Sus scrofa: one gene and its partner. The protein of the gene in region 2 binds, or shares a complex with, the protein of the main gene of each other region. Links are inferred from orthologs where the notes say so. Each region holds a gene or a part of one and is shown on either strand. Other genes may lie near its edges.

What was found. The genes of interacting proteins can lie anywhere in the genome.
Region 1: GTF2A1 (region 2) and POLR2C share a complex: the UniProt entries of both Homo sapiens proteins name them as parts of the TBP-based Pol II pre-initiation complex. The link is inferred for Sus scrofa from reciprocal best matches to the Homo sapiens genes GTF2A1 and POLR2C.

What each region holds. Positions count from the first base shown.
Region 1 is NC_010448.4:19,397,327-19,404,026, reverse strand, and holds the end of POLR2C (DNA-directed RNA polymerase II subunit RPB3), read right to left. Parts: intron 5,792-6,700; coding exon 5,663-5,791; intron 5,201-5,662; coding exon 5,149-5,200; intron 5,017-5,148; coding exon 4,848-5,016; intron 4,690-4,847; coding exon 4,615-4,689; intron 3,867-4,614; coding exon 3,722-3,866; 3' UTR 2,908-3,721; downstream 1-2,907. Other genes in the region: DOK4 (docking protein 4), read left to right, coding at 1-11, 110-299, 945-1,083, 1,243-1,366, 1,480-1,598. UniProt on the Homo sapiens protein: Core component of RNA polymerase II (Pol II), a DNA-dependent RNA polymerase which synthesizes mRNA precursors and many functional non-coding RNAs using the four ribonucleoside triphosphates as substrates.
Region 2 is NC_010449.5:104,004,211-104,012,364, forward strand, and holds the start of GTF2A1 (transcription initiation factor IIA subunit 1), read right to left. Parts: upstream 5,109-8,154; 5' UTR 4,662-5,108; coding exon 4,632-4,661; intron 3,690-4,631; exon of another isoform or gene 3,603-3,689; intron 814-3,602; coding exon 712-813; intron 1-711. UniProt on the Homo sapiens protein: TFIIA is a component of the transcription machinery of RNA polymerase II and plays an important role in transcriptional activation. TFIIA in a complex with TBP mediates transcriptional activity.

The sequences.
Region 1 (6,700 bases), on a different chromosome or scaffold from region 2:
TGAGCAGACAGGTGAGGCCTGGCGCTGGCGTGGGGTTGGGGGGTGGGGAGAGGCCGGGGAGAGGCCTCCCCTGAGAAAGCTCCAGGCCCACTCGGCCACTCCCATCCAGACCGCTTCAACGTCTTCCTGCTGCCCTGCCCCAACCTGGACGTGTATGGCGAGTGCAAGCTGCAGATCACCCACGAGAACATCTACCTCTGGGACATACACAACCCCCGCGTGAAGCTCGTCTCGTGGCCCCTCTGCTCACTGCGCCGCTACGGCCGGGATGCCACACGCTTTACCTTCGAGGCTGGCCGGTAGGACTCTCTGCCTCCCCGCCATCAAACCATGGCTCTGACAGTGGCTGCCATCCACTTGTGTTGGGCCCTGTATTGGAAGCTTAAGGTATTTATCAGCATAGCGTGCTGAGAGGAAACAGAATATCCCCGTTTTCCAAGTGAAGGGATGGAGGTCAAGTGAAGCTGTTTAGCAGGTCAGGCTGCTCGGGTTCCGGTCCGATGCCGGCATTGGCATTGACTAGCTCTGGGACAGTGGATCTGAGTCTCAATTTCCTCATCTGTCACATAGGGCATAGCAGGTCCTCCCTCCTAGGCTGGGTCAAGTATGGTTAAGGGTTGGGTATAGCGTGACCTCTCAAGCCAGCCTGCCTGGACTGAAATTCTGTGTAATTCTCTGGGTCACTCTGGTTGTTACTTACCCTCTGAATGCCTCCGTTTCCTCATCTGTAAAATGGTCGAAGTGGATTAATTCTAGTAAAGCATTTAGACTACCACCTGGCACACAGAAAACATTCAGCACATTTGAGCTGGGGGGTCAGATCCTCAGATGACAGCCCTGCCTGTTCCCACCGGGGCCTGGGGCGCAGAAGAGCCTGACTGGGCGTCTGCACACATACGGGGAAGTCCCCACCACCTCGCCTTCTGTGCTACTTGTGTCCCTAGGATGTGTGACGCTGGGGAAGGGCTCTACACCTTCCAGACGCAGGAGGGAGAACAGATTTACCAGCGGGTCCACAGTGCCACCCTGGCCATTGCCGAGCAGCACAAGCGGGTCCTGCTGGAGATGGAAAAGAACGTGAGGGTGAGGTGGTGTGCTCAGCACGGGAAGGGGGAGCTGGTGGGCGGGCAGGCTGGCGGCAGAGCATGCCAGCAGCCCCCACCCATCAGGTGTGTGGAGGAGGCAGGCAGGGTCTTGGGCCGCCTGCTCTGGCTTAGCCACTGCCCCTTCTCTGCCCCACAGCTGCTCAACAAGGGCACTGAACATTACTCATACCCCTGCACGCCCACTACCATGCTGCCCCGCAGTGCCTACTGGCACCACATCACGGGTTCCCAGAACATCGCCGAGGCCTCCAGCTATGCCGGTGAGTCACTGCTGTGCCCCACACCCACCGGCCAGAGGCTCTGCGGAGGACAGGGCGGGTCCGCAGGGCCTTCTGTCCTGGGATCACGTCTTCAACCTACCCTGTGTCCATAGGTGAAGCGTATGGGGCAGCCCAGGCCAGCTCAGAAACGGACCTCCTCAACAGATTCATCCTGCTCAAGCCAAAGCCCAGCCAGGGGGACAGCAGCGAGGCCAAGACCCCATCCCAGTGACCGCAGAGCGGCGCGCACGGATGACTGCTGGGGCCCCCTGCTGCGGGGCCACTTACCGCGTATTGTGGACGCCTGGAGGGGCTGTTGGCCAAGAGCCTGAAGGAAGGAAGCAAGCTGTCCCTTCTTTGTCCCCAAGGGTGAGACTGGACCAAGGCAAAGGGCTGGCCACGCCACCTGAGCATGTGTGAGGGGCTGGAGCTACCACAGGACTGTATACTGTTAATGATTTTAATATATATGGCTTATGACATATTCTATATTAATAAGATTTCCCCTCTCTGTCCCTCCCTGCCACCACATACATTTTTTAAGCCCATGACCAAACCCCAGTCAAGGCTGTTTTTCAATGTGAACAGCTATTTCCTGTCCCCCAAGGTACCAGCCCTCCTGAGCTGCCAGGGCTAGAGGAGGCAGCCAAGCCGCACTCCCGGCTGGTGCTCTGGCTGCTGGCTTCTCCCAAGCAGGCCAGGGTGGAGACAGCACGCGGCTTCTTAGTCCCTCTGGGCCCACAGAGTGGCACAGGAAGGATCCGAACATACATTGTGCCACTTGGCAGCCTTGCACTTGGAGTTTTAAGCAGAGGTGACATCTCGTTGACACCTCAGGTGAAAATCTGGTTTAAAATGGTTTCTGCCCAGGCTTCTTCCTGCTTAGTAGGCTGAGAAGACACCCTGGGGTTGGGGGTGCTGGTTACCTCAGCCGGGGGAGGATGGCCGGACCCGAGCGTGTCCCTGCCCCCGGGCCAGGCCAGCAGGGAAGGCCAAGCTGCAGGAGGACTGCTGAGGGAGCACCCCGCAGCCCTCTCACTGACTGGGGTGGGCAGGGCCCCTGCAGGGGGAGCCCCTCTGCCCGTCTGGCTCCCGGCCAGCCAGAAGTACTCAGAAACCAAGACCTTCCCACTTCCTCCTCCCCACATGGTGCTGAGGCTCCCTGCTGAAATGCAATTAAAGCAATTGATTTTCTAGTGCTGGTATTTATTGACTACCGTGCAGAAGGGCTATCTTTCTACTCACATCAAACCTGCGGTTGCGTGTGTGTTGAGTTTTTTGTTTTTAATATTTTAGGACTCTGATTTGTGAGAATAGACCTTGTAAATAACCACTGTTCAAGTCGTGGCAGGAGGAGGATAAAGCAAAAGGCCCCCTCCGCCAGAACCCTGGAGCCAGGGAGGTGGCCACAGCCAGCTCAGCTTTGGACCTGACCCAGGGACCCACCACCCAGAGGAGTAAGCTAGCCTGAAGGGAGCCCCGAGGCCACGGAGAGGGAGGCGGAGCTGACTGGCTCACAGGTAGTGGCACGATGACGCATGAAGGAGATGACGTTGTGCTCTTTATTGCCAAAAATAAAAACTTTTAAAAGACAACTCATACACATCCCTTCCTTTCTGTACTAGGTCTCTGATTTTCTCCAGGCTTCTCTGGCCAGGCTGCCTAATTAACTGCTTTGGGTATGTTCCTACCTCTAAGGCTGAGCCAGGGGCAAGGCCAACCTTTCCTTAAGTCCCCTGCCCTCCTGACAAATAAATGGGCCACTGTTGTTAAGTTCATAACTGATGGGGAGAGGGGGACAGCCTGGGTCTAACAGTGTTCTCAAAGGGTCTCAAGTTAGGGACTCCTGGGAATATGAGAGAAGTGCCAGTACGCGGGTCAGGGCCGGGACTGGAAGGACCTGCAGGCGGCCTGAGAAAGAATTCTAGAGTCAATCCTAACACAGAAGCCTGAGGTACAAGAGCGAAATCCCAATTTGTGGACAGGAAGGATTCAAACTAAAGCACTGAACTGATCAGAAAAGGAGAGTCCAGCTCAGTGGTTCTCAACCGGGGGACGCCAGGGCCCCTGGAGGCACATCCGGCGTTGTGGAGAGCACCACTGCCCATCAGCAGGCAGGGCCACGGATGCTCAATGGATGTAGGAGACTTTTCCGCCTCCGACAGCAGTGGCACCCCCGGCAACCTGCGACGGTGCCAGCCTGGGATGGCCTGCCCTCCCCCACCGCTACCTTTCTAGCCAGTACTGCAGGTGTGCCAGGAAGCTTGAGCAACAGCTGTCCAGTCCCCAGGAGCAAAAGTCTCAGGAGAGGCCTGAAATTCAAGAGCTGTTTCTGCTGAGACAGGTGAGCTGCGGCTAGTTTATGGTCAGGACGTCACTCTGGATCTCATGGCTTAATTGGGTCTGTAAGTCACTCAGTTTCTTCTTTAATCCAGAAAGTGCTGAGAGGACAATGGTTTCAGGGCGCAGAGAGCCACAAGATTCCACGTTGTAGTAAAACCTGAGAGGCGAGAGTCCGGTCAGAGGCCTCCGTGAGGCAGCCTGGCCGCCCCCACCCTGGCCACAGGCCCACCCCTTCCCTCCCTTCTGAGTCCTGACTCCTTTCCCCCAGACGAACTCCAGCCCCTGGACTGCCTCCCTCTAACCCCCTACAAACAGAGGTCCCAGGGCACTTTGCAGGGCCTCAGGGAGGCCATAGCTACCTGGAAAGGATACTGTGAGCCTCTCAAAGCTCGTGTGTTTGCTATACATATTCCACACTGAGGGCAGCCAGAAGATCAAGGAAGCAGCGTCACCTGCTCCAGCATTTTCGTACTTTTTACTCTAAGCCTTTGGTCAGATTTGGGACTTAAGTATTTTGTTTTGGGCCACTCCCCACCATATGTGGAAGATCCCAGGCCAGGGACTGAACCTGCGCCACAGCAGTGACCCAAGCCGCTGTCATGGCAGTGCTGGATCTTTAACCTGCTGTGTCCCAAGAGAACTCCCAAGGGCCATAGGTTTTTGATCCTAGGCTGATCTTTCTTTGGGTGTGGAAAATCAGAATAGGGACAGTCTGAATAACAGAAGGGCCCCCCTTTCTCACGGTGACCGCGAGGGGGATGATAAACTGCCTGGGATGTACACAGAGTGGGGTTCAGCAGTGAGCAGCCCCTCCTCAGCTGGCGGGAATGAGAAGGAAGCGAAGGGGCCTCCGGCACTCAAGAGCCTGCACCACGCTACCTTCAGGTGCCAAGCCAGGGACTCACCTCTCTGGCTTGCCGTTGGGGTCGTAGGGCGCCTGTGACTCATCCTCATCCAGCTCCGAGTACTCACTCTTTGGCCTGAGGTCAGACATAGATCAGCACAGGGTTGCTGCCGCAGCCGCTTTCGGGGTGCCCAGGTCTCATGGTGAGGTGCCCCACCTCAGTCGCCAGGAGCCACTTCCACACCCGCCCAACCCTGACCTGCCTGCCTCTCCTCACTCCCACCAGGAACATACCATTCCTCCGGCTTGGGGTACACCGTGTGCCTCAGGGCATTGTCGGGATCATATTCAAAAGCCACCCCTGCAGTGGGGTTCCACTTGGCGTGTTCCTTGCCAAAGCCCTTTTTGGCGTAGGCGCGAAGTCTCAGCTCCTGGCCCTTCCTCAGCTTGACGATGAGGATGTCTGCGGGGAGAGGGGAGAGGTGGGCGAGGGCCAGCAGAGGCCTGGTTCTCCGCAGTTTGACCCGCGCCGCCACTGCAGGACCAGGCAGCACGAGAGGCTGGGTCTGGTCTCTGCCTCTCTTGGGCCCCTTACCGTCCTGCTCCACGTAGTCACTGGGGTCATTATCTCGGTTCCGGGATGTCACCTGCAGGGAACCCAAACAGGCATTATTAGCTGCTGCTCAATGTCCCCATGCACCTCTGCTGGTTGGGGATTTGGCACTGCCATGAGCTGCGGTGCAGGTCACAGATGCAGCTCGGATCCCGCGTTGCTGTGGCTATGGTGTAGGCCAGCGGCTACAGCTCCGATTCGACCCCTGGACTGGAAACCTCAACATGCCTCGGGTGCAGCCCTAAAAAGAGAAAAGACAAAAAACAAAACAGTACCACAGCCTTCAAAGGGTCCTTGGGAGACAGGGGGCCCAGAGCACCAACAATGGCTCTGCCCACCCTGGCAAGACTCCAGAATCAGCACTTCCAGGCACCAGGCTGAGGTTAAGGCAGAGGGCACACAGGGAAAGCCAGTGTTTTATAAGGAGCCACCCGAGTCTGGTCCACTCGGAGCCAAGAGAAGAGCAAAGGCCCTGGGCAGGGAGGATGTCGCTGACCGGAATGACCCGGGGGCTGTTGGAGATGAGGTCTCGGGATGTGACGTGACGCGTCTGGTCTTCGTTGCACCGCACATCGAGGGTGAACTCCACCGAGCACTCGGGGCAGAACTCCTCACAAGTGCAGTCCTGAGGCAGGAAGAGAGGCAGGAGTGAGTCTAGAGAGATGGCGAATCCCGGCCTGGCTCCCTGCTTCTAACACCCCGTCCCTTAAGGTCCTTCCCTGGGAGAGGGCAGAGCACAGCCTCCAGGCTCCCGTGGGCTGTGTCCATCCCACACGCCATTCTCGGGCTGCTCAAGGGCAGGCTCGTCCCAGCTCAGAGACAGCTGTGTCTACCCCCCGCGCAACACCAGGCCACCACCAGGAGATGCACTAACATCTCACCCTACCCTCAGAGCACTCTTCTTCTAGAACCAAGGCACTGAGAGAGGAGGCAGCTTTCATCCTGCACAGCTCTGTGTCCCATAAGCTAAGTGACTGGCTTAGGAAAGCCATCACCATTTAAAAGGAAATAATCCAGGGAACAAGAAAAAATCTATCTTTTAAGTTCCAGACTACAGACCTTCTCTAAAAAAAAAGTCACAGGTAATGTATGAATTTATGGAAATTTTCATACATTCACAGAAGCAGAGAAGACTTAAGAGACTGTCACTATGTAACCATCACTCAGCTTCATTAACTTTCAAGTGTGCCATTCTTTACACTGATTCTTAAACATTCCCGTGTTAGAGACGAGCTGCTACCATTTAACCTCAGGCAAAAAGAGTTACTAGAATGTAATCAAGCAAACCTTCCCACTTCCTACCAGTGAAGAAAATCCAACCTACTTTTTGTTGTTTTCAAGACAATGAGGAAGAACTAGGGCCCACACCTGGTCAATTTGCAATCACACACTGCTGAGGCAGGAAGACAGCCTAGGCCCTCAAGACTGCATCATTCTTAGGAATATGAAATTAAAAGTATTCAATCTCAAAAAAAAAAAAAGTATAATAAAAAAAGGAGTCTGAGAGATCAAGAGAATAAAAAGGTATAATAAC
Region 2 (8,154 bases):
AAAGCCGTTCCAAAGCAGCATATATTATAAACACAATTTTTGGTCTACAAAGAGAATTGGACTCCAAAACGTGAAATTCTGTTATTAAGGACTTATTCAAGTAATTACACCATAAATGGATGCTAACTGTCCATTAATAATAGCTAATACTATTGCCAAGCACTGTGCTAAGCATTTTTATATATACATTTAACCCTCAAAACAGACTTAAAAGCTAAGTAGTAGTAATTACCATCTCACATATAAAGAAACTGAAATATAAGTAGTTTGCCTACGGTCAGAGAAAGAATGGATGGTAGAGATAAGATTTAAAACCAGTACCCTTCATTTAACTATACTGCCTCTTGTGACAAAGTCAAATGGTCATCATATGGAAAAATTATGGATTATAGTCTCTGGCTGAAGAGACTGTTTTTAAAAAAAGAGGTAAACTTGGAGTTCCCGTCGTGGCACAGTGGTTAACGAATCTGACTCGGAACCATGAGGTTGCAAGTTCAATTCCTGGCCTTGCTCAGTGGGTTAAGGATCCGGCGTTGTTGTGAGCTGTGGTGTAGGTTGAAGACGCAGCTCGGATCCCGCGTTGCTGTGGCTCTGGCATAGGCCAGCGGCTACAGCTCCGATTGGACCCCTAGCCTGGGAACCTCCATATGCCACGGGAGTGGTCCTAGAAAAAAAAGGCAAAAAGACAAAAAAAAAAAAAGGCAAACTCACAGTTTTTAGTTCCATCAGAACTTGTTCATCGACTCCATCATCCAAAAAGATGTCTCTCACATCATTAATAACATCTTCGATCACAGATCTGTATAATTTAGGCTTTAAAAGGAAAATAAAAGACTATTGAAAAAGATTGCTTTTCACATGTTAAAATATACAACACGTTTTCACAAATTCAAAACAAATTAAATGTAATACAATGATCATTTTTCCAACTCTATAAAACTTATTTTAGAAAATATAACTTTAAAGACATGGCCATTCCAATAAATACCATTTGTCTTAGTTAAAATGAGTTTTTTAATGACTGCGTGTTTTAATAAAACAATTCATACACAGGAGATCACTACCCATACAAGGTCCATACAATTTCCAATGTTGTTATAGTCAAAACACTTAACATTATCCAACCATACAGTTTTATGGGTTGCTATGTCTGGTTATTATTCCTTGCTTGGTTTAACTACTGTTACATCTCTTTAACATTACCACTGTCTTAGACTTGAGAAAACCTTGTGTCCCGTGATCATGTGCCTGGTAATCTGCAACCTAATGAGTATTCAAAATCAAAAATCACCTAATTTTTATTTTTGTTACCCAGTCTGTACCTTTAAATTATAACATTAGGTTGTTCAATGTATCTATAATAACAGGTCTCAAGGTCTCAGGAACAATGATCTCTTTTCCAGGATTTCTCTCCTTCTACTACTGCCCAGATGATGCTACAGAACTGAATCATGAACAGCCTCAGTGTTTATTTTCAAATTATTGTTATTATCATCGCAGTTATTATTGTTGGCATTACTGGTAGGGGAGCTTGCTTTTACAAGGCTGCCAGAAAAATAAAACGAGAATAGATGTGAAAGCACTTTCAAAAGCACATAGTTTTTTAAAACCAAAAGGTAAGAGACAGGAATTATTTTTAACATGACAGACAAAAGGAAGTTTGCCTGTTAGAGTATAAAACCAGAGTGACCTTGTTATAAATCCTATCTATTATTATACAGAGCTAAAAGCCTTTTTCTTCTAATTCTTTGTCATTATTTGTGTTTTATATCTTGCTTAAGTTAAAATAAAACCAAGGGATTGCTCTCATAAGCAAACCTCAAACAGAAATAAACGTTTCATTAGCATTTCTATCAGCAATACAGTTATCATAGGGGGAAACCTCTAAGAAAATCCGTCCTTATCTAGTCAACAATACAAATAGTAAGTTCCTCCATACAACCTACCTCGACTATTAAAAACTACTTGTGCCCTTTCATCACCAAAGAAAAACAATTCATGTACCTAGGTTCTCACCTTTGCTGTTCCATTCACTAACTTCCTTTTTTATTTTTCCAAATCTGCCTCTGTGAATAAAATTATTCATGTGTAAAATCTGCATCTCTATAGTGCCTCCTTATTTCAACACTGATTCCATAATGAGGAAAGTCTATATGACTATGGATATCACTTTATCTATGGTAATTCAACTACTGAATTACAAAAATATATATATATATATATTTAAACCAAGGCATTATAAAGCCCCAGTATAATTTTAAATTAGTAGTATAAATCTTATATTGATGATATAAATTATTTTTTCAGCAAACTAGATGCTGTTTTAGTGTTTCTGAAGTCAGTCACCCCTAAAAATATCTGCTTGGTGATCCACACATTTATAGGTACAATGTGCTTTCCTCTGGAACTCCCTACTTAATGAATCAATCTTACTTTAAGAGTTTGCCTAGGTGCTTTAATTAACTTGCAAAGTGACCACAGAGATTCACATGCACTACAGCTGAAGGAAGGGAAATGTGTATTCTTCAGAAGTATACGCATAAAGAGTAATTCAGGATTGCTCATTAATTTAAAAAGTGTCCAAAATACTGATGTTATTAAAAATATGTGAATACATAGGCACTATGTGAACTAAGCAAGTTCATTTAAAATGCTAAACTTTATTTTACTTGAGCCAAAGTTTTTGTCTTTTATGAAATACATAGTAATCTAGGTTTGTCCTGTTTTTCAAAAACAAGATAGTCCAAACTTTGAAACTTTAATTAAAGGGCCATCAGTGGCATAAGCTAATGATTAAAGGGTTTCTTCAAAAGTTTGAGACTCTAGTACAATATTGGAAAATAAACTGGATTAATATCTATATTGGATACCATATTACCATGCAAATAAATGAAAATACCGTCTACTTAGAATTTTAATTTTTGAATACCCAGTTTGCACTAAGCCTTCTCACATTATTCATAATATCCCATACATACACGTATTGTTGACAGGAGGTCCTATGTCAAAGCTTTAGATACTTATCTACTTTGAAAAGCTTCGTGTCTCAAATATTTATTATAGGAAAAATAATGAAGTATTACGAGCTATAGTCTAACATTCCCTGAATACTTGATAAACAAAGCACTACCAAAATCAAATCCTCTACAGCTAACAGGTAATGCCTAAAGCTTTTCAAAAACAAACAAAAAACAAAAAAAAATAATGCATGCATCTTCTCAATACAGGAACAATTAAGACATCTAAGCTAAAATTCTCTTTAAAAACAAAACACAAAATAAAAAGGGACAGCAATTCTATTTTCCCCTAACAAAGGTTAAGTCCCAGCTGCTGCATCAAAACAAAAACTTAGGGCTCCTAAAGCAGCCCCGATTGGGTATGAAATTAGAGTACGAAAGGACTTGGAAATAAATTGAGCTCTACACACGCCTGCCTCTCGCCTCGAGAGCACGCACCTCCCAGCCCCGCTCTCAGCAGCTCTCACTATTTAAAGCCGGATCTGGTGTTTAAATGGAGAGGCGGTGACGTAGGCCTGAAAAGCACCTTCCCATCCTGGCAGAGTCTATATTAGAGAGCGGCAATGGCTCTATATAAACAGGGCAGCCAAAGGGAGGAGGACCACAAGGCTCAGGGACTGAAAGGCAGGGTAAGCGGCCGCAGCCATGATGGATCGACCCGAGTCGTCAACGGTACGGAGTCGGGCGGCCGCGGGCTTGTCTGCATTTGGGACCGGGCAAAAACGTGTTTTATTGTCACAATAAAAATAAGAGAGTGGGGTGGACTAGTGATCACATTGCGTTGGTGACTGAAAAGGTTATTTATGTGACTGCTTTTTGCAAACCTACGTGATCGCAAGTAAGAAAAAAGGGACAAACGGTGAGAAGTAGGCAAATTTCGAGGCGAAAGTGGGGGCACTTTGACCACTGTAAGCTTTGTTTGTTTTGGTGTTTTTGCTAGTCGAAGATACGATGGGGGGGGTTGCTTCCCCTTCGCCATTTTACCGATTCGGAAGGAACCGAGATAAGTGCTTTTCAACCTTCGTCCTTTTTTTTTTTTTTTTTTCTTAAACGTAAAATGGCCCCAGTGAAGCCTCCTAAGCACAACCCGCCACAACACCCAAAGTAACCCCCAAGTAGCCATTAGCCTTCCACTGCGTTAAAGTGGATCGCGGTGGGTCTTGGGGATTCGCCCAGTTCCCAAGACACGGTTTTTGTTTTGAGGCTGCTCGGAGAGCCCTTCTCCAGCCAGCGCGGCAGGACCCGCTTCGGGGAGGAAGCGGAGGCTCCCCTCCCGCCCTCCCTCCTGGCGGATGGGGTCTGGGGCCAGGGCCGCGCGCTCATCCCGGCCTCAACCGCCTCAGCGGCCCGGACCGCCCCGCGGCAGTTCCAGGCCCCGCCGGCACCCCCGCCCTCCCTGCCGCCGCGGCCCCGAGCCCTCGGCACCCCCCCGCGCCCGCCGCCCCGCGCCCCGGCCCGCTCCGCCCGAGGCGGGAAGCGGCGGCGGCAGCGGCGGCAGCCGCGCGGGCAGCTGAGAGTTGAGGCCGGGAGTCGCCGCCGTCCCCGCCCCCGCCCGGTCCGGCCGTTGCTGCCGCCTGAACGAAGCCCCCGCCGGCCACCGAACCACGTCCTTACCACGGTGTTTGTATTTGCCGAGTTCGCCATTTCCACACACAACACAAACAAGAGGGGGGCAAGCCCCGAGAAAACAAGATAAAAACAAAACGAAAAAAAAAAAAAAAAACACCCAGAGGGTGACCCAAGCCACCGCAAAATTGGGGGGGGAATTTTAAACAAAATCGGATCCTGCTGGATTAGAGGGGATCGGCGAGGGGAGGAAGAGGAGGGGGCAGTCCTCCCGGAGCTAAAAACTCGAGGATCGCCCTTAAAAAAAAAAAGGGCACGACCCTTCTGGGGTTTGGGGGGCGTTGCCCGCTCCCCACCCCGCGCCAAGGAGGGAAACCACCACTGGTCGCCGCTCCCCGCGCCGCCGCTGCCGCCACCGGCTGCAGCTCCAGCCGTCCGGTCCGCCCGCTTCTCCCTTTATATAGTGAGCCAACGAGCTGCGCGAGCCGCCGCTGCCGCCGCTGCCGCCGAGAGACAGGGCGGAGGGGGAGGGAGGGGCGGAAAGGGCGGGGGCAGAGGTGGGCGGGGCTGAGCGCAAGACACCGCGAGAGCCGCGTGCGCAGGCGCGCCGGGGCGGAGGCCGCCGCGAGCCGCGTCGTCACGCTCAGGGGAGGGTGTTGTGTGGGCGGGACCCGGGGACTTAAGTAGGGAAGTCCGACCGCGGTCTCCCCAAATGTCGCGTGATCACGTGGTCGGCAACCAGGCGGAAGTCTCCGGCTGCTGTTTTGGGATGAAGAACTTGCAAAGCTCTGTTGGAGAAAAGCGTGAGTTGTGGCGACGCTCGAGTCGAAACCTAGCTGATTCCGCCTCCTGTCGGGAGATTCTGAGCTGTCCCACGCTGGAGGGGCTAGGAAATGTAGGAGCTCTGGCGGCTGCCCCGCTAGGCATGGCTGTGGAAAAGGGCGGGTCACGTGGCCCGGCTTCCGGCAAAAGTTTTAAGTGCGGAGTCATCTCCGAGCGTGAGCTAAGGTCAGACTCCTAGTTGCTGAAGCGTTAGCACGCCTTGCTGAGGGTGGGCCTTTCGCTTGCAAAATTGTGTATGAGTTCCTGAAAGGGAACTGATTTGGTTCCCCTCTTACTACATTCAACAATTATTACATATTATTACATTCCACAATTAATAATCCCTGAAGCCAGCAGAGTTGTCTGTCTCCATCAGTACAACTACAAAGTCTCTTTAAATTTCCGTTCCCCAGAGTCCCGGCCTCTCCAAGCCCACTTACTTCAAATAACTTCTCAAGGTGGTAGAAATGTTAAAACTAACCCCCCAAAAAAGGTCACCACCTGGATTATGACCGCACAACTTTTCCTGGTTTTTTTTTTTTTTAAATGTTGCAAAAATTCAGTGATTCCATATGTTCAGCACGTGCTAACATCTTGAATACTTGCCCTTGACCCATCAACTCTCATGGCTGCAAGAGAGCAGGTAGAAAATGGCCATGTATTCAAGGGCAACTCAGTAGGCGTTTGACCTGCTCTGCCCAAGCTAATCCCGCCTTTATATCAGCATTTCACGCAAAACGGAATACTCTGTTTAGAAGACAGAACTCAACAGTTCCTAATTTTCTTGTCCCTAGGAATTGCGAGTGACATGGAATGCAGTCTGGACAAGTGAGGGAGTTGATCCTCAAAAAGCAAAGCAAAACAAAATGTCAAACTTATGCTCCTGAAAGAAGATTTGAGAAAGATCAGTTGCTTTTCAGTTCCCTGCACAGTGGCCTCTTTGGGAACACTGAAAGAGATAAGACCATAGGAAATCATATTGTCCTATACTATTATATAAAATTATGATTCCATCACCATTTGTAATTCATGTAATATTCAAGTGACCATTGGCCCGAAAAGTTAAATTAACCCATGTCTTTAATTTCTTACCATTTTAAGAGGACTTTTTACCTCCTTATTTAAGTAGTACTGTTTGTACATGGAATCCCTCACCTTTCACCTCTTTTTCTTCCCTATCACTTAGTATTCTTAACTAAATTGATCAAGTGTTTTGACATCAGTTAAAACTAGGATCACTGCAAACAGGACATGGGGTAGAATATATGAGATTTACTTCCCTCAGAAATATTCCTAAAGAGAATAAGGACAGGTATTCTCTGATTGGGTCTGACCTATGAAATAATTGAATATAGTTCTTGAATTTAAAAGGGGAAAAAACCTATTTATGACCTCCATTTAAGACCTTCAGACTCCTTGGAGGCTCTGCATCAGCTTCTCTTTACACACTCTAATTTGCAACAATACCTTGATTAAAGTTTTCCCAAATGTCTTCTCTTCACCCCACAGTATGACTACCAAGTAAACCATCATGGATTACATTCCAGTTTATTGTTTTACAATCTTCATTTAGCTATAGGATTTCTTCAGTTGGGATACGTTTGTGTCAGCCAGTTTAGTTTCAGAAAAAGACATTTTCTGATCTTTCACCAAAATGGTGGGTCTGAATAATTTGGAGGCTAAAGTTCATGAATTCACAAAACTGAACATTTGTGAACAGAAAACTCTTCCCATTTAAGATTGACTGTAGCATTGCACTAAATTGTTTGTATGTGAACTTTTTCTTCATTGTACCTGAAAGCTTAAATAACTGTTCTCATTTTAGCAGTTCCTTACGTGAAACATTTATACTGGCTTTTCAGTTTGTGAACTTGTACTTTGTAGTATCATGTACTTAGTTACATAATAGTGCTCTCTTCTAGATGAATCTTTTTTTTTAAATGTTTTATATTGGAGGATATAAAGTCACTTCTTTTAATATTAATATTCTGTTTTACACCTGATAACTGCCAAACAAAAGAAAAGGAAAAACTCAATGCATAAATTTTAATATACCATAAGCAAAATGACACCAAACCTTAATATGTCTAAACAGTTAAATGTTTTACTGTCCAAATGACTATTTAAGCAACAATGCCAAGAGAGAGGAAAATCTAAAGAGACTATTCATGGAAATTGGCTTAAATTAAAATAATAAATGACTAAATAAAGCAAATGATGTGGCATATTTAGGCATCATACAGCCCTTATAGGTTCAGTAGTATTGGGTTCTTTTGGAGAATACAGAAATTGAGAAGAAAGAGCATATCTCAAACTTGCTAATCCTAGTGAAAGCCTTATTGTGAAGTATACTACATAATTACAGCATTCTTTCAAGATATTAAAAACACATGTATTTCAGTCCAACCAAATGAAGTTATATTCGGGTTCACCTAATTTTGATTTGAAGTATAGTTGATTCACAATATTTTGTCAGTTTCAGGCCTACTGCCAAGTGATTGTTAATTTTTTTTCAGATTATTTTCCATTATAGGTTATTACAAGATACTGAATATAGTTTCCTGTGCAATTAGTAAATCCTTGTTGCTTATCTATTTTATGTGTCAGAGTTTGTATTTGTTAATTCCATACTCCTAGTTTATCCCTCCACCTTCCCCTTTGATAAACACTAGTTTATTTTCTACGTCTGTAAGTCTGTTTCAGTTTGAATATAAACTTGTTTGGGTTATTTTTCAGATACCACACACAA